Linked DNA regions of Callithrix jacchus. The main gene of each other region encodes a partner of the protein of the gene in region 3 in a complex. Links are inferred from orthologs where the notes say so. Each region holds a gene or a part of one and is shown on either strand. Other genes may lie near its edges. The genes, in order: UBE2B, MAGEA4 and RAD18.

Region 1 (6,555 bases), on a different chromosome or scaffold from region 3:
TCAAGTAGATATGTTGCTGTTACAATTTTCTACTAAAAAGCAACCTCATAAAACTACAGAAAACATAATGAGTATGACTTACCATCTTCAAAGGGTGTCCCTTCTGGTCTGAAAACAAGAAGATTTCTGATTAAAAGAAGTTTCTCATTCTGCTTTTTACTGACTTTCAAGAGTGGAAATGATAAACTCCAACAGAAAAAGAGGGACCCATTCGGATGATTTGTGGAGTTTTAAGATACAGCTTAATAACACCTTAGCCCTGGATTTTCATAAACACAGGCATAAAATACAACTTTCATTCTAAGCTTTCTTTTTAGGGTGGTTTTACCAAACCAAACAAAAAAACTTGCCCATAATTTTAGCACCAAAAACTTCCAGTTCATTAATACTGACCAGTCATTTTGTACATATGTATATTTTTTGTTTGTTGTTATTTTTTGTTTTTTTCTGAGAGGGAGTTTCACTCTTGTTGCCCAGGCTGGAGTGCAATGGCGTGATCTCGGCTCACTGCAACCTACTTGTCCTGGGTTCAAGGGATTCTCCTGCCTCAGCCTCCCAAGTAGCTGGAATTATAGGCATGTGCCACCACACCTGGTTAATTTTTGTATTTTTAGTAGAGACAGGGTTTCAGTATGTTGGTCAGTCTGGTCTTGAACTCTGACCTCAGGTGATCCACACGCCTCAGCCTCCCAAAGTGCTGGGATTTCAGGCGTGAGCCACCATGCCTGGCCACATATGTATATTCTTAAGAGAAAAAGTCATCTTTTTCATTTAACAGCAATAAGATGGAAAGCAATAGTCTTTAGTTATGATGCTAAACCCAAGTGTCCTGCTTTCCAACAGATGCATAACGTTTGTTCAAATAGGCTAAGCATAGCTGCTGTCACCAAAAAGCCAGATTCTCTTGTTCAGATCCTTGCCACCACATCCCAATTTCATACTTCCTAAGCAGCAGCACAAGGTTTAATTATTACTTGCAAGGCATATTCAGGATCTCAAAGTAGCCAGATAATACCCTGAATATAACAGAAGTGCTTTATGAGGGTGAACCTCACTCATTTTCCACTAGTCTTTAAATGTAGACTCTTGTAGCTGAACTGGAGTATCAGAATTCTGTTTATCAACATATTCCTTTTACTTTTTAATGCATATCTCGAGTTTCAAAGGAATGAAAGAAAAAACAGATCAAGTCTAGAAAAACCAAAGAAAAAGCATAAGGAAAATTTAAATTAAAAAGCATATATGCAACATATATAGTACGTAAAATTTACAACTCCTCAAATGGCTGCATTCTGCTACTTCACACCGGGCTGTGAATCCTTTTCACTTAAATACTTGCCACAGTAGAAGTTCTTAATATTTTTGGTTCCAAATCTTGTAATAGCTCCAACAGAATTAAAGCATTTGCATGGTATATTTTATACAAAATAATTTATATTTTCTCCTTTATTATTCCATTCCATATAGTTTTGAATAGTATTTTAAAGTAAAACCTGAAGTGATTATAAAACCCTATAATAAAAGAGCAAATAAATTGTATATAACTGCTGAAATTTTTTTCCTTTTTTTTTTGAAACATAAGGGTCTTGGTTCTGCTGCCCAGGCTGGAGTGCAGTGGCATAATCATGGCACTCAAATTCCTGGGCTCAAGTGATCCTCCTGCCTCAGCCTTCCAAGTAGCTGGGACCACAGGTGTGCACCACTATGCCCAGCTAGTTTTATACTTTTTGTAGAGATGAGGTCTCACTATGTTGCCCAGGCTGGGCCAAAACTCCTTTTTTTGGGGGGCAGGGAGAGAGAGACTCACTGTTTCATTATATTGCTCAGGCTGGTGATGAACTCCTGGGTTCAAGCGATCCTCCTAGGCATGAGCTAAAATTCTAATTAAAAAAATTTTTTTCTAATTTATCTTGTAGTTTTAGTCCTGAAGATCTCTCAATCCACCCCAGTTTCTTTTCCTAGGCAGTTGTTATATATTCACTTAAAGATTCAACACACACCTATTATAAACCTTTCAACTCACCCAAATATAACTGCATTCCACTGCATGATGTTGTTTTCAGATGGTGCACCACTGACACCCACAGGTGGGTCCTCTTGTAACCTAGAAATCCGGAGTGGTAATTTAAAAAGTTGAACATTAAGGCCACTAAGGAGGCCACATAAACACCTACAGACACTATACCATCTATTGTGACACAGGGACTAACTCCATTTCCTTGTTACTGTGAACTAAAATGAACCCTATGACTTAAATATATTAACCAGGTATATACACTTATTAAATACCTCTCCAAATTATCTAAAAATGTAAAAGGCTTGAGAATCATCCCTTTTTCAATATTATCAAGATTATTATCTCTTCAAGAATTGATGCATACAGACTGTCCTCTTAAACCAAAAAAAAGTTTAAAAACTCAAAAGCAAATAATATTTTTACAGAACCATCGATTTTGCTGCTCTAACCATCCAAAGACTGTGTGTCTTAACCACAGGTACTTCTGCAAAATGGCTAAAAAAAGAAAAGCAAACCTCAGTGTAAACACTAATGACTGAAAACACGTTAATTACAAAACTAGTATTAGGCAGATTTACTTTATCCCTTTTGCTTCAAACGGCAATGGCTTTAAAAAGTAATCAGTAGGTTTTCTGCCAGTCCCTATTTTAAGGCTCTGCACTAACACCAAATCTACCTCTCAGATCAGGAGACTCAATACAAGGCTTTCCAACATTCCTCAAATTCTTATAACCTGCAGACCTTTGGAAAACTTCAAAAGGTGTCATATACTCAACTCAGAATTAAGCAGAGCATTACAGTAAGGAGCCAGGGAGACAATGACGTGAACTAAATTGCTATTTGAATTTTAGTCACAAGTGCCAAGCAAATACACTAATTTCAAGCTTTAGAAAGATAACTTTTGCACAAAAAAGGGCATCTCCTTTCAGAGACTGTAGTGTCAATTAAAAATGCTACATTATACACACAAATACATATGCAGTCGTTTTCATGGGGCATCACACTTTGCAACTAGTCCACATTAAAAAAAAAAAAGGTTTTTAGTCAATTTCAAGCAAATTAGGCCGCCACGAACAGAAGCCTCACAAGAACTGCACTGCTTGACGCCTACCTTTAAATGGCTAAGAGAAGCTACCAATGAATTAAATAAGTTGGCCAAAGCCCAAAACAATGGATGGCTTCCAAATGCTTCACATAGGCTTTATAATGGCTGAGTTGAGAGGCGACTTCCTGAGCGACAAATCTAAGTTTTTAGGCCAGATATTTTGTCTCAATTAGGGCAGGTATCCCCAAAAAAAATTTTAAGAAAAACGTGCAGAGTTATCAAAATGCTGTTTTCTCACATGTTTTTCTATGTCTCTAAGTATCCAATTAAAGGCAAACGACGGACTAATCATTCTCTTTCTCACAACCCCAATACCTCCTAACAGTTAAAACCCTATTTATTTACCAAAGGAGGCCCAGGGAGTATCAAATTAGCGCCCGTCTAAGGGAAGGCATTTTTCCAGACTCGGGAGGCTATAGATAGGGCTTTCTTCACCAGCCAGAGCTGAGTTCCAGAAGGCACTGGCAGCCGGGGTGGCCAGCTCTGAGGTCCCAGATCTCTAAGTCGGTTCCCAAGGTCCTTTCAGGCGGGCGGGGACAGAGTCGGGTTTCGGGGGATGGGTTAAGCTCCGGGCCTCACGCACTGGACCCCACCCTCACGGTAGAAATGGAAAGGACCGGGGCGTGGTGCGGGGGGTTTCGCCCCAACCCGGCTCCTCGGAGAAGACGGCGGGGCAGTGAAACAAAGCTGACCGGTGCAGCCGGCGAGGAACAAACTCCCGCAGGAGCTTACTTTAAGAGGACAAGAAGGGGGCGCCGCAGGGTGCAGGGGCGGGTGGAGGAAATCTGATCGCCGGGCAGCTGGCCGAAAAGGGCAGCAGGGAACCCTAGGCCAGTCGATCGACACCGTTTTACTTTTTGGGGGTAGGAGGAGTATCGAAATTTATTCGGCCGCCAAAACGAGAGGCAAGGATAAGGTAGTGGAAGCCGAGGCTAGGACCCGGCTTCTGCCAGTTCTGCTGGGCCCACAGCCGGCCCTCGGAGGGTCACAAGGGGAAGGTGTCCGGGATCCCCACCCTGCAGCCCCGCAGCTTTGAGGGGCCGTCATCTAGGCGGACGTGAAGGCCCTTACCGCTTGAAATCCCGCATGAGCCTTCTCCGGGCCGGGGTCGACATGCTCCCCAGCTGCCCCGCGGTCAGTCTGAAAGAAAAGAGTCCCGCGCAGCCCCCCCACCCCCCGGCGCGGCGGCCAAATCACTGTGGGTAGCTGCCGCTGCTGCCGTCGCCGAGACTGACAAACAACCCTGCAATGACGTCTCCCTCCGCCGCCTCCGGATCCCTCCGCCCTCCGGATCCCTCCGCCCTCCGCCGCTACCACGGAAGAGCGTTGGGGGAGGAGGGGGCGGGACGCTGGAGCGCGCGTTCTCCGAGCCCTTCTGCGGGGCTGGGTTCAGCCTGGGCTTCCTGAAATGATCGGCAAGTTTGTGTACTCTGTGCTTACACTAGAGGTTGTGGATTCAGAGACCACGGAACCGAAACACTATCTGTCCCCCTCCCCGTCATTAGTTTAGACTCGGCGGGGTGGAGAGAGGGGGGACTCATCCGGGCCAGAGATTTCAGGGAAAGGAGGTGGGATGACGTAAGATCACGTGACTGACCGTGGCCTTGTCAACAATCCACCCCTGAGGGGGAGGGGGAGAAGTATCTAGAACCACGTGTCCCTATGACGCCTTTAGAATGGGTCACGTGAAAGCCTCGCCTCTATGTGAGTTTCAGCCAGCTCTATGAAGCTGGTTCAAGGGAGATTACACCTTTATTAGTTGTTTCCTGTTTATTACAGGTTAGAGACATCATTACCCAAGAGATCATGGCAGAATCAACAGCTTGTTTTGTTTTGTTTTGTTTTGTTTTTTTTTTTGAGGGTTTTAAAATTATTTATTTATTTTACATTTTGTAGAGGCAGGGTCTCTCAAAGTGCTGGGATTACAGGCATGAGTCACGTTTTGTTTTCTTTAAACCGGGACCAAAAATAATTCCCCTCTGGTTGGTTCAGTGGCTTATCAACTCTGCTATTGGGGCAAGAAGGGTATTGCACGATCTTCTAAGGCAGCATTGAATGTTGAGGCCCACACAACAATATCCTGCAATGCTTCCTTGAAGCTACCAAATAGTCTTTCAGCTTTGCAGTGGGGTTTCTAGTATTGAAAATTTTGGGCAAACATTAAAGGATGGTGTATTATGCAGTTTTTCCTTTCTGGGTCTGCTTTCATTTGAAGATATGTGTCAGAGTCCGGGACTTGCCTATAGGGGGTTGTACCATTGTATATTTTTAAGGAATGTGGGGTTGCAGACTTCCAGGCTTATCAATGAGTGGTTGGTTGTCAAAGAAACCTACAAATATGATTTATACCTGGGGGAGAGCTCCTGTAGATATGAGTGAGGGTTATAAATCTAGCCTGAAGGCCCGGTGCGATGGCTCACGCCTATAGTCCCAGCACTTTGGGAGGCTGAGGCGAGTGGATCACGAGGTCAAGAGATCGAGACCATCCTGGTCAACAAGGTGAAACACCGTCTCTACTAAAAATACAAAAATTAGCTGGGCATGGTGGCGTGCGCCTGTAGTCCCAGCTACTCGGGAGGCTGAGGCAGAATTGCTTGAACCCAGGAGGTGGAGGCTGCAGTGAGCCGAGACTGCGCCGTTGCACTCCAGCCTGGGTAACAAGAACAAAACTCTGTCTCAAAACAAAACAAAACAAAAAAATAAATCTAGCCTGAGATAACTTTAGGTTTTCTACACTAGCAAGTAAAGTGCAAATGGGCCAGAAGTGCCCCCCCATCACCAGGGGGGTTCAAAAGTGTTGATCTCCCACAGACCTTGAATATTTTCTGTAGTTACTGTCCTTCCCTCTATTGCTTCCAGTTCCTACCCTCAGGACTTTGTTATACTAAGGACTCTGAGTACTGAGGAATCCTTCAGCTCAACAGGGAAAGGGAAGGTGGAATGAAGACCTTAGCATTGCCTCAACCTTGCCCATAGTTCCATGGAAGCAGAGTTAACTTTTCCGACTTTCCTTGCATCTTCCTCTTTAAACCCTGAATTCTCTCTCTGCTTCCAGTGACTGCCTCGGTAATCGAGTTAGGCAGGCCTAACTCTTGATAGGTCCTGTTAAACATTTCACAATGTGTTTTCTAAGTCAAAAGCTGAATATTCTTAATTTTTTTGCCTTTCTGCCATTGCAGTCCTAACCCTTCCGATAACAAAAGAGAAAGATACACATGTAAGGTTACATGGAGAAAAATGGTCAAGAGAAACTGTATCTTAAAAATATTCGGCATGAGCTGAGACATAAGCTCATGCCTGTAATCCTAATACTTTGGGAGGCCATAAGTTTGAGACCAGCCTGTGCAAAACAGGAGATCCTGTCTCTGCAAAAAGTAAAATTAGCTAGGCGTGGTGACATACACCAGTAGTCCCAGCAACCTGGGAGGCTGAG
Region 2 (6,520 bases), on a different chromosome or scaffold from region 3:
CCATTTTTATTCCCATCCACCCTCCCATCCCGCACCAGTACCCCCATTCTCTCCAGCCCCTACCAACGTCATAATCCCATTCCCCCACCCCCAACCACGCAGCATCCGGTTCCACCCAGGTGCCCGGATGTGACGCCACTGACTTTCGCGTGGGGGCGGGTTAGAGAGAAGCGCAGTTCTTGGTCCGACCAGCGGTTTGGGATTGACGGAGAGAGGCGGGCAACGCTCTGTTAGGAGGTAAGGTGAGACGTAGAGGGAGGACGCAGGAGGTCCCCTTCCCCGGTAGACGACTCCAAATAATCTCTTACCACTCCGGCTGCCAGCCCTCGGCCACCCGTGGGTGGACTGCTTAGTGGGGGAGGGGCACCACCCCTACTGCCGTTGAAGCCACAGGGGACTCGGGACTCAAAGAACTTGGCGTGGTCAATGCAAGACTGGTGGGGTAGGCTGTGCCAGGAATTAACGTGGGGATCCCAGGAGAGGGCTCTGAGTCCCCCATTCCCATCCCCTTTCTCCAACCCATTCTTATTCCCATCCACCCTCCCATCCCGCACCAATACCCCCATTCTCTCAAGCTCCTACCAACCTCATAAACCCATTCCGCCACCCCAATACCCCCACCCCCAACCACGCCGGATCCGGTTCCACCCAGTCACGCCCAGATGTGACGCCACTGACTTGCGCATGGGCGGCGGGTTAGAGAGAAGCGCGGTTCTTGGTCTGACCAGCAGCTCGGGATTGGGGGAGGCAAGCGGGCAAGGCACTGTTAGGAGGAATGCTGAGACGCTGAGGGAGGACTCAGGAGCTCCCCACGCGAGATAGATGACGCCAAATAATCCATTACAACTCTGCTGCCAGCTCTGGGCCACCCGTGGCTGGACTTCTGAGTGGGGGATGGGCACCACGGCCACTGTGGTTGGAGTCACAGGGGTCTCGGGACTCAAAGGGCTTGGCGTAGTCAGTGCAAGATTGGTGGGGATAGGCTCTGCCATGAATTAACTGCAGGATCCCAGGAGAGGGCTCTGAGTCCCCCATTCCGTCTCCATTCCCCAACCCATTTTTATTCCCATCCACCCTCCCATCCCGCACCAGTAACCCCATTCTCTCCAGCCCCTACCAACGTCATAATCCCATTCCCCCACCCGCAACCACGCAGCATCCGGTTCCACCCAGGTGCCCGGATGTGACGCCACTGACTTGCGCATGGAGGGTGGATTAGAGAGAAGCGTGGTTCTTGGTCCGACCAGCAGCTCGGGGTTGACGGAGAGAAGCGGGCAAGGCGCTGTTAGGAAGCAAGGCGAGACGCTGAGGGAGGACTCAGTAGCTCCCCACCTTAGATAGAGGACCCCAAATAATCCCTTACCACTCCTGCTGGCTGCCCTGGGCCACCCGTGGGTGGACTTCTGTGTGGGGGAGGGGACCAGTCAGAGTGCCGTTTAAGCCACAGGGGACTCGGGACTCAAAGGGTTTGGCGTGGTCAATGCAAGACTGGTGGGGGTAGGCTCGGCCAGGAATTAACTTCAGGATCTTAGGAGAGGGCTCCGAGTCCCCCATTCTGTCCCCATTCCCCAACCCATTCTTATTCCCATCCACCCTCCCATCCCGCACCAGTACCCCCATTCTCTCCAGCCCCTACTAACCTCATAATCCCATTTCTCCCACCCCCAACCACGCAGCATCCGGTTCCACCCAGGTGCCCGGATGTGACGCCACTGACTTGCGCATGGGGGGTGGATTAGAGAGAAGCGTGGTTCTTGGTCCGACCAGCAGCTCGGGGTTGACGGAGAGAAGCAGGTAAGGCTCTGTTAAGAAGCAAGGCGAGACGCTGAGGGAGGACTCAGTAGCTCCCCACCTTAGATAGAGGACCCCAAATAATCCCTTACCACTCCTGCTGGCTGCCCTGGGCCACCCGTGGGTGGACTTCTGCGTGGGGGAGGGGACCAGTCAGAGTGCCGTTTAAGCCACAGGGGACTCGGGACTCAAAGGGTTTGGCTTGGTCAATGCAAGACTGGTGGGGGTAGGCTCGGCCAGGAATTAACTTCAGGATCTTAGGAGAGGGCTCCGAGTCCCCCATTCTGTCCCCATTCCCCAACCCATTCTTATTCCCATCCACCCTCCCATCCCGCACCAGTACCCCCATTCTCTCCAGCCCCTACTAACCTCATAATCCCATTCCCCCACCCCCAACCACGCAGCATCCGGTTCCACCCAGGTGCCCGGATGTGACGCCACTGACTTGCGCATGGGGGGTGGATTAGAGAGAAGCGTGGTTCTTGGTCCGACCAGCAGCTCGGGGTTGACGGAGAGAAGCGGGTAAGGCTCTGTTAAGAAGCAAGGCGAGACGCTGAGGGAGGACTCAGTAGCTCCCCACCTTAGATAGAGGACCCCAAATAATCCCTTACCACTCCTGCTGGCTGCCCTGGGCCACCCGTGGGTGGACTTCTGCGTGGGGGAGGGGACCAGTCAGAGTGCCGTTTAAGCCACAGGGGACTCGGGACTCAAAGGGTTTGGCTTGGTCAATGCAAGACTGGTGGGGGTAGGCTCGGCCAGGAATTAACTTCAGGATCTTAGGAGAGGGCTCCGAGTCCCCCATTCTGTCCCCATTCCCCAACCCATTCTTATTCCCATCCACCCTCCCATCCCGCACCAGTACCCCCATTCTCTCCAGCCCCTACTAACCTCATAATCCCATTCCCCCACCCCCAACCACGCAGCATCCGGTTCCACCCAGGTGCCCGGATGTGACGCCACTGACTTGCGCATGGGGGGTGGATTAGAGAGAAGCGTGGTTCTTGGTCCGACCAGCAGCTCGGGGTTGACGGAGAGAAGCGGGTAAGGCTCTGTTAAGAAGCAAGGCGAGACGCTGAGGGAGGACTCAGTAGCTCCCCACCTTAGATAGAGGACCCCAAATAATCCCTTACCACTCCTGCTGGCTGCCCTGGGCCACCCGTGGGTGGACTTCTGCGTGGGGGAGGGGACCAGTCAGAGTGCCGTTTAAGCCACAGGGGACTCGGGACTCAAAGGGTTTGGCGTGGTCAATGCAAGACTGGTGGGGGTAGGCTCGGCCAGGAATTAACTTCAGGATCTTAGGAGAGGGCTCCGAGTCCCCCATTCTGTCCCCATTCCCCAACCCATTCTTATTCCCATCCACTCTCCCATCCCGCACCAGTACCCCCATTCTCTCCAGCCCCTACCAACGTCATAATCCCATTCCCCCACCCCCAACCACGCAGCATCCGGTTCCAGCCAGTCACACCCAGGTGCCCGGATGTGACGCCACTGACTTGCGCGTGGGGGGCGGGTTAGAGAGAAGCGCGGTTCTAGGTCAGACCAGCAGCTCGGGATTGACGGAGGGAAGCGGGCAAGGCTCTGTTAGGAGGTAAGTTGAGACGCTGAGGGAGGAAGCAGGAGGTCCCCTCCCCAGATAGAGGACCCCAAGTAATACATTAGCACTATTGCTGCCAGCTCTGGGCCACCGTGGGTGGACTTCTGAGTGGGGGAGGGGCACCACCCCCATTGAAGCCACAGGGGACTCGGGACTCAAAGAGCTTGGCATGGTAAATGCAAGACTGGTGGGGGTAGTCTTTGCCAGGAATCAACGTGGGGATCCGAGGAGAGAGCTCAGAGTCCCACATCCGTCCCCATCCCCCAACCCATTCTTATTCCTATCCACCTTCCCATCCCGCACCAGTACCCTTATCCTCTCCAGCCCCTACCAACCTCATAATCCCAATCCCCCACCCCCAACCACGCAGCATCCGGTTCCACCCAGTCACACCCAGGTGCCCGGATGTGACGTCACTGACTTGCGCGTGGGGGGCGGGTTAGAGAGAAGCGCGGTTCTTGGTCTCACCAGCAGCTTGGGATTGGGGGAGGGAAGCGGGCAAGGCTCTGTTAGGAGGCAAGGTGAGACGCTGAGGGAGGGACGCAAGAGGTTCCCGTTCCAGATAGACGACCCCAAATAATCCATTAGCACTCCCTCTGCCAGCTCTGGGCTACCTGTGGGTGGACTTCTGAGTGGGGAGGGGCACCAACCCCACTGCCGTTTAACCCACAGGGGACTCGGGAGTCAGTGTTTGGGTTGGTCAATGCAAGACCGGTGGGGGTAGGCTCTGCCAGGAATTAACGTGGGGATCCCAGGAGAGGGTTGAGCCTCCCCCATTTCCAACCGCATCCACAGCCCATTCTTATTCCCATCCACCCTCCCATTCCCCACCAGTACCCATATTCTCTTCAGCCCCTACCAACCTCATAATTCCAATTCCCCAACCCAACACAGACGCCCATCCACGCAGCATCCAGTTTCACCCCGTCACACCCAAGTGCCCGGATGTGATGCTACGGGCTTGCACACGGAGCGGGGGTGTTAGAGAGAAGCGCGGTTCTTGGTATGACCAGCAGCTTGAGATTGGCAGAGAGAAGCTGGCAAAGTTCTGTTAGGAGGCAAGGTGAGATGCTGAGGGAGGACTCAGGAGGTCCTTACCCCAGATTGATGACCCCAAATTGTCCCGTACGATTCCTGCTGCCACTCCTGGGCCACCCATGGGTGGACTTCTGTGTGGGGGAGGGGCACCACCCCCACTGCGGTTTAAGCCACAGGGAACTCGGGAGTCAGAGTTTGAGCTGGTGAGTGCAAGACTGGTGGGGGTAGGCTCTGCCAGGAATCAACGTGGGGATCCCAGGAGAGGGCTCAGAGTCCCACATCCGTCCCCATCTCCCAACCCATTCTTATTCCCATCCACCCTCCCATTTCCCACCATTACCCCTATTCTCTCCAGCCCCTACCAACCTCATAATCTCATACCCCCAGCCCCATCCACGCAGCGTTTGGTTTCACCCAGTCACTCCCAGGTGCCCGGATGTGATGCTACTGACTTGTGCATGGGGCGGGGGTGTTAGAGAGAAGCCCGGGTTCTTGGTAGGACCAGCAGTTTGGGATTGATGGAGCGAAGCGGGCAGGGCTGTTACGAGGCAAGGTGAGATGCTGAGGGAGGACTCAGGAGGTCCCCACCCCAGATAGATGACCCCAAATAATCCCTTACCACTCCTGCTGCCAGCCCTGGGCCACCAGTGGGTGGACTTCTGAGTAGGGGAGGGGCACCACCCCCACTGCCGTTTAAGCCACAAGGAACTTGGGAGTCAGAGTTTGGGGTGGTCAATGCAAGACTGGTGGGGGTAGGTTCTGCCAGGAATCAATGTCAGGATCGCAGCAGAGTGATGAGTGTCCCGCATTGCCATCCCTATGCCCCGCTAGCACCCCTACCCTTCCCATCTCACTACTATGGTCATACCCTCATTCTCTGCCCTCATCTCCCTCCCTGTGGAATCTGGTTCCATCCCTGCTTTCAACACAGGCAGGCCCTGGGTTCCCACATGTGATGCCACTGACCTATGCATTGGGGGTTAGAGGGAAGTGAGGTTCTGTGTCTGAGGGTTGGCTTGAGATAGGCGGAGTGAAGGGGGCCCCGGCTCAGTGAGGAGGCAAGATAAGACACTGAGGGAGGACTCAGGATGACTGCATCCCAGGTAGAGGGTCCCAACTGTTGACCACCCTTCGAGGGTGTACTTCTCAGGCTGCGCCACCTCCAGCTTCCCACCTCCCTTCTACCTGTACCCCAACACTGTCCATGCAAGGGACTCTGGAGTTAGAGTGTGGTGTGGTCTGACCGGGGAAGGGCTGCTTAGGAGAGCAGCATCCAGGCTTTGCCACACATCAAAGTCAGGAATTTCAGTGAGGGCCGAAGGTCCCTAAGAGCCCATTGTAATCCCCGCTCCCAGGAACCAACCGCCACTTCATTGCCATTCCCACCCTTATTCCTCAACCTAGATCCTCATCCACTCTGCCTTTTCACCTACAACCCTCTCGGAATCCCCACCCTCACCCTGGCCGATTACAGCTGCTGCCTCTGCTGTCGATCCAGGGAAGCCCCGTGTATCCAGTTGTGATGCCACTGGACACTGACTTGCTTATTGGTGATTAGAGAGAAACGAGGTTCTCCTTAGGGGCAGCTTGAGATCAGCAGAGGGAAGCGAGCCCAGGCTCTGAGGAGGCAAGGTGAGAGGTTGAGGGAGGTGTTAGGAGGCCCCCGCCCCAGATGAAGGGCCCCAAGTAATCCAGCACCACTCCTGCTGCCAGTCCTGGACCACCCGGGGGCAAACTTTTCCGGCGGAGCTCCCTCCCCTGCCCCCACCACAACACCTTTGTTTAAGCCACATGGGACTTTTGAGTCGTGGAGTCAGACGTGGGTGTGATCAGGGAATGCCTGGTTAGGAGAGGACATGGCCCAGGTTGTCAAGAATCAAGGTCAGAAACCTGAGAGTTAACTGAGGTCCCCCAGGATCCCACTCTAACTCCCACTCCCACAAATCTGCCACTGCCTCGCTGTCCCATTCCCCATCCATTGCTCCTCACCCACACTGGGCAGAATGGAGTTCCCCTTCTGCTGTCAATCCAGGGAAACTCCAACATTGGTGGGATGTCACATTGTGGGTCAGAGAGTATCGAGGGCATGGTTCTGAA
Region 3 (6,459 bases):
TTAAACACTGGAATTGATCAAGCAGAAGAAAGGATATCAGAGGTCGAAGACCAACTTAATGAAATAAAACGAGAAGACAAGATTAGAGAAAAAAGGATAAAAAGGAATGAGCAAAGTCTCCAAGAAATGTGGGACTATGTGAAAAGACCAAATTTACGTTTGATAGGTGTACCTGAATGCGATGCAGATAATGAATCCAAGCTGGAAAATATTCTTCAGGATATTATTCAGGAAAATTTTCCTAACCTAGCAAAGCAGGACAATATTCAACCCCAGGTAATACAGAGACCACCACGAAGATATTCCTCAAGAAGAGCAACCCCAAGGCACATAATCATTAGATTCATGAGGGTTGAAAGGAAGGAGAAAATACTAAGGGCAGCCTGAGAGAAAGGTCAGGTTACCCACAAAGGCAAGCCCATCAGACTTACAGCAGATCTCTGAGCAGACACTCTACAAGCCAGAAGAGAGTAGGGGCCAATATTCAACATCCTTAAAGAACAGAACTTTCAGCCCAGAATTTCTTATCCAGCCAAACTAAGCTTCACAACTGAAGGAAAAATAAAATCTTTTATGAACAAGCAAGTATTCAGAGATTTTATTACCACCAGCCCTGCTTTACAAGAACTTCTGAAAGAAGCATTACACATAGAAAGAATCAACCAGTATTAGCCTTTCTAAAAATATACCAAAAAGTACAGAGCATCAACATAAAGAAGAATTTACATCAATGAATGGATAAAACAGCCAGTTAACATCAAATGGTAGTAAACCTAAATTTAAATTGACTAAATCCCCCAATCAAAAGATACAGCCAAAACCCAACTGTATGCTACATCCAGACCCATTTCACATGTAAGGATACACAAAGACTCAAAACAAAGGGATGGAGAAAGATTTACCAACCAAATGGAGAGCAAAAATAAATAAATAAATAAAAAGCAGGAGTTGCAATTCTCGCATCTGATAAAATAGATTTTAAAGCAACAAAGATATAGTGGTAAAAGGATCAATGCAACAATAAGAGCTAACGATCCTAACACCCAGATACACAGAGACTTAGACTCCATGAGACAGAAAATTAATAAGGATATCCAGGACTCGAACTCAGATCCGGAACAAGTAAACTTAATAAATATTTATAGAGCTCTCCACTTTAAATACACAAAATATACATTCTTGTCAATACCACATCACACCTACTCATAGGTTTAAATGAAATATTGATTGGCCATTATTAATACCCATTTTTTAGAATAAAGCAACATTTCCGTTCTCTCTCCCTCTTTTTCTTCCTCTTTCTTCCTCTCCTTCACTCCTTTTTTTTTCTTTCCTTCTCTCAAAAAAAAAAAAAGAATGTATTCTAATAAGCCTAGCTTGGTGGCTCTTGCCTGTAATCCTAGCACTTTGGGAGACCACGGCAGGAGAATTGCTTAAATTCAGGAATTCAAGACCAGCCTGAGCAAAATAGCAAAAATCCATGTCTATAAAAAAAAGTAAAAATTAGTTGGGCATGATGGCACATGCCTGTAGTTCCAGCTACTCAGGAGGCTAAGGCGGAAGGATCACTTTAGGCCAGGAGTTCAAGGCAGCAAGCAGCCTGGGTGACGGTGAGACCCTATCTCAAAAAAAAAAAAAGTATCTATTTTCATCAGAAATACAAACAAATTATGAGAAGATAATAATAAAAATGATCAGGGCCAGGAACACGGTAAGAAGGAAACTTTTACTTTTCACTTCATGTGTATCCTGAACCAAGTGAACCTATTATCTGAATTTTTAAAATTTATACAAAAAAAAGACTAATGTTGCCAACAGTCCATATGATGAAATATTATGCAACCATTAAAAAACATGCTTTCAAAGAATATTTAATGCCATAGGAAAATAAAAATCAGAAAATAAATATATGCCAATAATACATAATAATGGCAACTCTGTAGTTTAATCTTCATGGCAATCTTATAAAGTCCACAGCATCAGTACCCCAATTTTAAAAACAAAGCCTTCAGAGTTCCTAGGTTGGCTGAATCAAACCCAAGAAGTTGACTCCACAATGATCCCAAATTTTAAATGCGTAAAAACTGAAGGAAAATAAGGTAAAATGTTAAACACTGGTTCTCTGGGTGGTAGGATTACAGATGATTTTCTTTTTCACCTTTATCTTACTCTGAATTTTAATTTTTTTCTACTGTGTACACCTATTACATTTACAATATGCCAAAAAGAGTCCAATTTTGCTAAAATAAAACCAGGGAAATAATAAAATGCCAAAATCTTCCATTATTGTGGATGGTAAGCTGTCACAGACACAAAAATCTAGAGGGTTAATGTTAAAGATCAATTAAGATCAGAGGCAGGCCCAGAAGCCGGAACCAGTCTGTCATACCACTCTTTCTTATCTATGCCATTCTCTTCGGTGGAGTAATGATTCAGAAAGATCTGCAGAGCACAATTTGTGGAAGTTGACACTCCATAAGATGAGCTATTTCGGGTTCAAATTTCTGGTCATGTCTCTCCAAGACTGTAATATGCGTATCACATGTGCCTCAACCAACCAAACAAAAAACGATGCCTGAATAGAGAGTGGTCAGCAGACACCCCAAAATGTCTTTAGTTTAGAGAGAGAGAAAGTGAAAGGGAGTAGAAAATGGGTAGAAAAACATAATACTTACAAAAATACCCAAGTTTTTGGGGTTACAGATCCCTTTGAAAATTAGATGAAAACTATGGACTCTATTCTCAGAAAAACATATATACGAAAATTCTACAAATAACTTGAGACTCCGAAGTCTTTCTACGGATCCTAAGTCAGGAACCATGCATTCTGAGTCAGACTTCTATTAGAAGTAACTTTAGTCAGATCCACTTCTGGGATCTGATAGTTCTTTGTCCCTGGAAGAGTTCAAGCAAAAATTAGGTGAGAAATTGGCAGATATGTTATAAAAGAGTTTAAAATAATGAAGGAGGCTGGTTTCCAAACCTTAAGATTCTATGATTCTAATGTGAGCAAAAAATATGGGCTCAATCAACTCTCTGGTTGAACAATCACTGAACACTCTGTGGTATCAAACTCTATATTCAGTGCCGTGGTGAGATACCAAAGTCAGAGAAGACATGGAACCTGCCTCTAAAGAACACTGAAATTGTGGGAATATGTAAAATATGCTTAAATCTACAAAGCAGGAGCTTTACAGGTTACAGAGTTCTTTTACTTTCCTTATCCAAATCAAGCTTCATGACAACAAATTAAAAGGGGAGAGAAGCACTTAGCACAGTGCTAATAATAGTAATAAAATATATTCATTGAATGCTTACTACATTCCAGATACTTTCAATCAAGCAGCAAATAATACTTGAGCACTCACTTTCTGTCAGGCACCGCATCAAGCACAATGAATAAGCCTGCAGAATCTGCACCCACACACATGAACTCATTTATTTAATCAACCCTATGAACTGTTTATTTTTGTCTCTAATTTATAGTTGAAGAAATTCAGGCTCAGAGAGGTTATGTTACTAACTGAAGGTCACACAGCTAAGAGGCAGAGATCAGATTTCACCCAGGACCACTAGAATTCAAATCTGTGCTCTTTTCCACGGCATCTTGGTGCCAAGCCCATCACAACTTCGAAACCACCGCTTTCCTGGATCCTTTCACAATGTCAGCTTCTCGTCATGCAGATATCTCAAGTCCCCAAGACCTCTAAATATCACGGATGACAGCAGGAAGAACAAGGCCTTATACTTATTTTAGCCTTCACTTAATTCTAAAGTCAACTTTATGAGCCAGTGGGACAGATACTATAATCCCCAAGACTACAAAACTGAGGAAGAGAAAAAGGCTATCTTAGCCACTGTCAGAAACAAAAATAATCACAGAGCAAAAAGAAACACCAAACAACTGACTTTTAGCCAGCACGGGAATGTGCATCTGCTCTTGAGCAAATCCAGGGACCACCACTACGTAAATGGAAACTGTTGCCTTGCCAAAACAGAAAGTGGCTACAAAAATAAGTGTTATTTAACTGAAATAATTCGATGCAATGAAAGATGACTGCTGAATCTTGATCTTTGTTTAAAAGACAGAGAGATGAGCAATTGTTACAGAAGAGATAGGACGTGTGAGGGAGGAGCTGGGGCAGTATGTCGGTACAAACCAGCAGTAGGTTTATTGAGAATAATCAGAAGAGCCTGTAAAGGAGACTACCTGCTTGGCTACGTGATTACATACATGTTACTTGATAAAGTGTCCACCCAAAATCATGTCCGGTGTCACTGTTTAGTGCTTGACACAAAGTAAGCTTTCAGTGAAGGTTAGCTGACAATGTCATTGTTTAGAACAGCTGTTTTTCTCCATGTTACTGTTCGGATTGGATCGCAGAATATCTGGTTCCATTAGACTGTCAACCTCAGCTCACCAAGCTTGTCCTTGTCACTTATCAAAGGAGTAAACTGAGACCCAGAGCCACGCGGTCGGCTAGTGACAGAGCAGAGCCGGGTACTATGGCCCAGTGCGACTCTCGCGCCTCATTTTTTCTCCTCAAGGCGAGGACATCCTCCTCAAAGGGAGGGACCGCCCCCCGCAGGCACCCGGGAGCCCCCAACCTCCCCGAAGCACTCACCTTCATAACTGCCAGGCCCGGCGGCCACCGAGGCTCGGTTAGGGAGTCCATGGTCGCTCCTGAAGATGCTGGGGTCTACCACTCAACTAGCCTCCGGCGCTCCAATACCACTCGAAATTCCCCGCGCTATCGCATTACGTCACAACCCGCGACGCGCCAGAGGCGGGCGCGGAGCCTGCCGGAAATTGTAGTAGGATGTGGGCGGGGCGCTGCTGATGGTGCTTGTACTGCGCCTGCGCTAGGCTATGTCCGCTACTGTGTAATATCTCTCCCATATTACAACACTGGGAGGTAGGTGTTATCATTGTCAGTTTACACAAGCGGAAACTACTCCGGAAAAGCTGAATAGAGTTTCGAGTCAGATTCGAAACAGGACCTCTGGAGTTTAAATAGGAGCTCTTCCTTTTAATCATATTAAAATTTTAATGTACAGTTTTTCTTCAGAGAGAAGCACTATTAACTTCGGCATATAGCCTTCCAGATATTTCCTATGCAAATTGGCAAAGATTCTTGGCTTGACCAAACTTTAGTCAGGCTCCTGAACCTTCTCCTAGGCCAATCTGTGTACTTCGTGATAAAATCCAGTTTTAGCAAAGAACTCTGCTAAATCAAGTTAGCAATATCCCCACCCTTGAATCCTTGCCCTTGATATTCCCACCAAGTTAGCAAGAATCTGGGAAGGGACATTTCGGAATCCATATAGGCTCATGGCAAAATCCGAATATCCCACAATAAAAACTAGAAACCAGCTATCTGAAAATGCCTTGCAATGTGTGGATTCTCACACAGTTGAAACCTCTGTTTTGATTCAGTAGGTTGGAAACACTCTTTTTGTAGAATCTAGGAAGGGACATTTTGGAGCCCATTGAGGCTTAAGATGAAGAACACGCCCCACGTGGTCCATGCACTGATTCATTTCACAAATATTTTCTGAATGCTTACAACGGGCCAGGCACTTGAGCTTTCTTGGGAAGCAGGCAGAGATTAGACTGTTATGGCCATCTTACAAATGAGGACACTGAGGCTCAGAAAGCTTAAGACTTCACTCCTCTGAGTTCTCTTCATAAGAACCCTCTAGTCTCTTAGCCAAAGCTGTATTCAATTGATTTTTCCCAGCTTGCACCCAAATACTTACTGGGCAGTAATATTAATACTAATAGCATTTAGAGAAAGGACTTTAGACTTTGGAGGCTGAGGCGGGTGGATCACAAGGTCAAGAGATCAAGACCATCCTGGTCAACATGGTGAAACCCCGTCTCTACTAAAAATACAAAAAATCAGCTGGGCATGGTGGCGCGTGCCTGTAATCCCAGCTACTCAGGAGGCTGAGGCAGGAGAATTGCCTGAACCCAGGAGGCGGAGGCTGCAGTGAGCCAAGATCGCGCCATTGCACTCCAGCCTGGGTAAGAAGAGCGAAACTCCGTCTCAAAAAAAAGAGAAAGGACTTTAGTATCCATTACAGTAGTAGCTGGCATTTATTAGGCACGTGTATGCAAAACACCATTCTAAGTTTTTTACACATATGCACTTATTTGACTTATTCACAAGGCACCCTGCTGGTAGTGGAAGATGAAAGATTTGAACTCAGTCTGGCTTGAGAGTCCATATTGACCACAACAGAATATTCTCATAAGGCCTTCATCATGAGAACTAAGTCTTAGAGAGGTAAAGGAATTCATATAAACCACAGTTTGTCAGTGGCATTATCCAGGATGGAACCTAGGTCTTTTAACCTAAAACCAGAAGAAATCACCCACTGATAATTTTTTGAGAAACAGTTAAGTAAACCAAGTCAAGGGGCAGAGCCAGGTCTGAGAATCTCAGGTTGTTGGAC

Evidence for each region.
Region 1: the proteins of RAD18 (region 3) and UBE2B are in contact, whole or in part, in a crystal structure (PDB 2YBF), measured with the Homo sapiens proteins. The link is inferred for Callithrix jacchus from reciprocal best matches to the Homo sapiens genes RAD18 and UBE2B. Residues at the interface, in NP_064550.3 of Homo sapiens: Tyr342, Arg343, Lys344, Lys345, His346, Lys347, Glu349, Phe350, Leu353, Val354, Gln356, Ala357, Arg358, Lys359, Gly360, Tyr361; in NP_003328.1 of Homo sapiens: Pro20, Val22, Gly23, Val24, Ser25, Gly26, Ala27, Ser29, Glu30, Gln35, Asn37, Ala38, Val39, Phe41, Gly42, Pro43, Glu44, Glu49, Asp50, Lys54, Leu55, Val56, Leu73, Ser74, Asp151, Ser152.
Region 2: the proteins of RAD18 (region 3) and MAGEA4 are in contact, whole or in part, in a crystal structure (PDB 9BD3), measured with the Homo sapiens proteins. The link is inferred for Callithrix jacchus from reciprocal best matches to the Homo sapiens genes RAD18 and MAGEA4. Residues at the interface, in NP_064550.3 of Homo sapiens: Ser348, Phe350, Gln351, Leu353, Val354, Gln356, Ala357, Arg358, Lys359, Gly360, Tyr361, Lys362, Lys363, Ile364, Ala365; in NP_001011548.1 of Homo sapiens: Ser111, Val114, Asp115, Ala118, His119, Ser158, Lys160, Met161, Ile162, Ile204, Ile205, Gly208, Thr209, Met212, Glu224, Glu225, Val228, Met229, Gly230, His237, Val239, Tyr240, His290, Val291, Val294, Asn295, Arg297, Arg299.

Annotation. Positions count from the first base shown.
Region 1 is NC_133503.1:32,757,664-32,764,218, reverse strand, and holds the start of UBE2B (ubiquitin-conjugating enzyme E2 B), read right to left. Parts: upstream 4,358-6,555; 5' UTR 4,238-4,357; coding exon 4,194-4,237; intron 2,105-4,193; coding exon 2,024-2,104; intron 109-2,023; coding exon 83-108; intron 1-82. UniProt on the Homo sapiens protein: E2 ubiquitin-conjugating enzyme that accepts ubiquitin from the ubiquitin-activating enzyme E1 and transfers it to a E3 ubiquitin-protein ligase. In vitro catalyzes 'Lys-11'-, as well as 'Lys-48'- and 'Lys-63'-linked polyubiquitination.
Region 2 is NC_133524.1:148,211,385-148,217,904, forward strand, and holds the start of MAGEA4 (melanoma-associated antigen 4), read left to right. Parts: upstream 1-1,714; 5' UTR 1,715-2,761; coding exon 2,762-2,832; exon of another isoform or gene 2,833-4,448; intron 4,449-6,520. UniProt on the Homo sapiens protein: Regulates cell proliferation through the inhibition of cell cycle arrest at the G1 phase. Also negatively regulates p53-mediated apoptosis.
Region 3 is NC_133516.1:66,165,929-66,172,387, forward strand, and holds the start of RAD18 (E3 ubiquitin-protein ligase RAD18), read right to left. Parts: upstream 4,764-6,459; 5' UTR 4,677-4,763; coding exon 4,626-4,676; intron 1-4,625. UniProt on the Homo sapiens protein: E3 ubiquitin-protein ligase involved in postreplication repair of UV-damaged DNA. Postreplication repair functions in gap-filling of a daughter strand on replication of damaged DNA.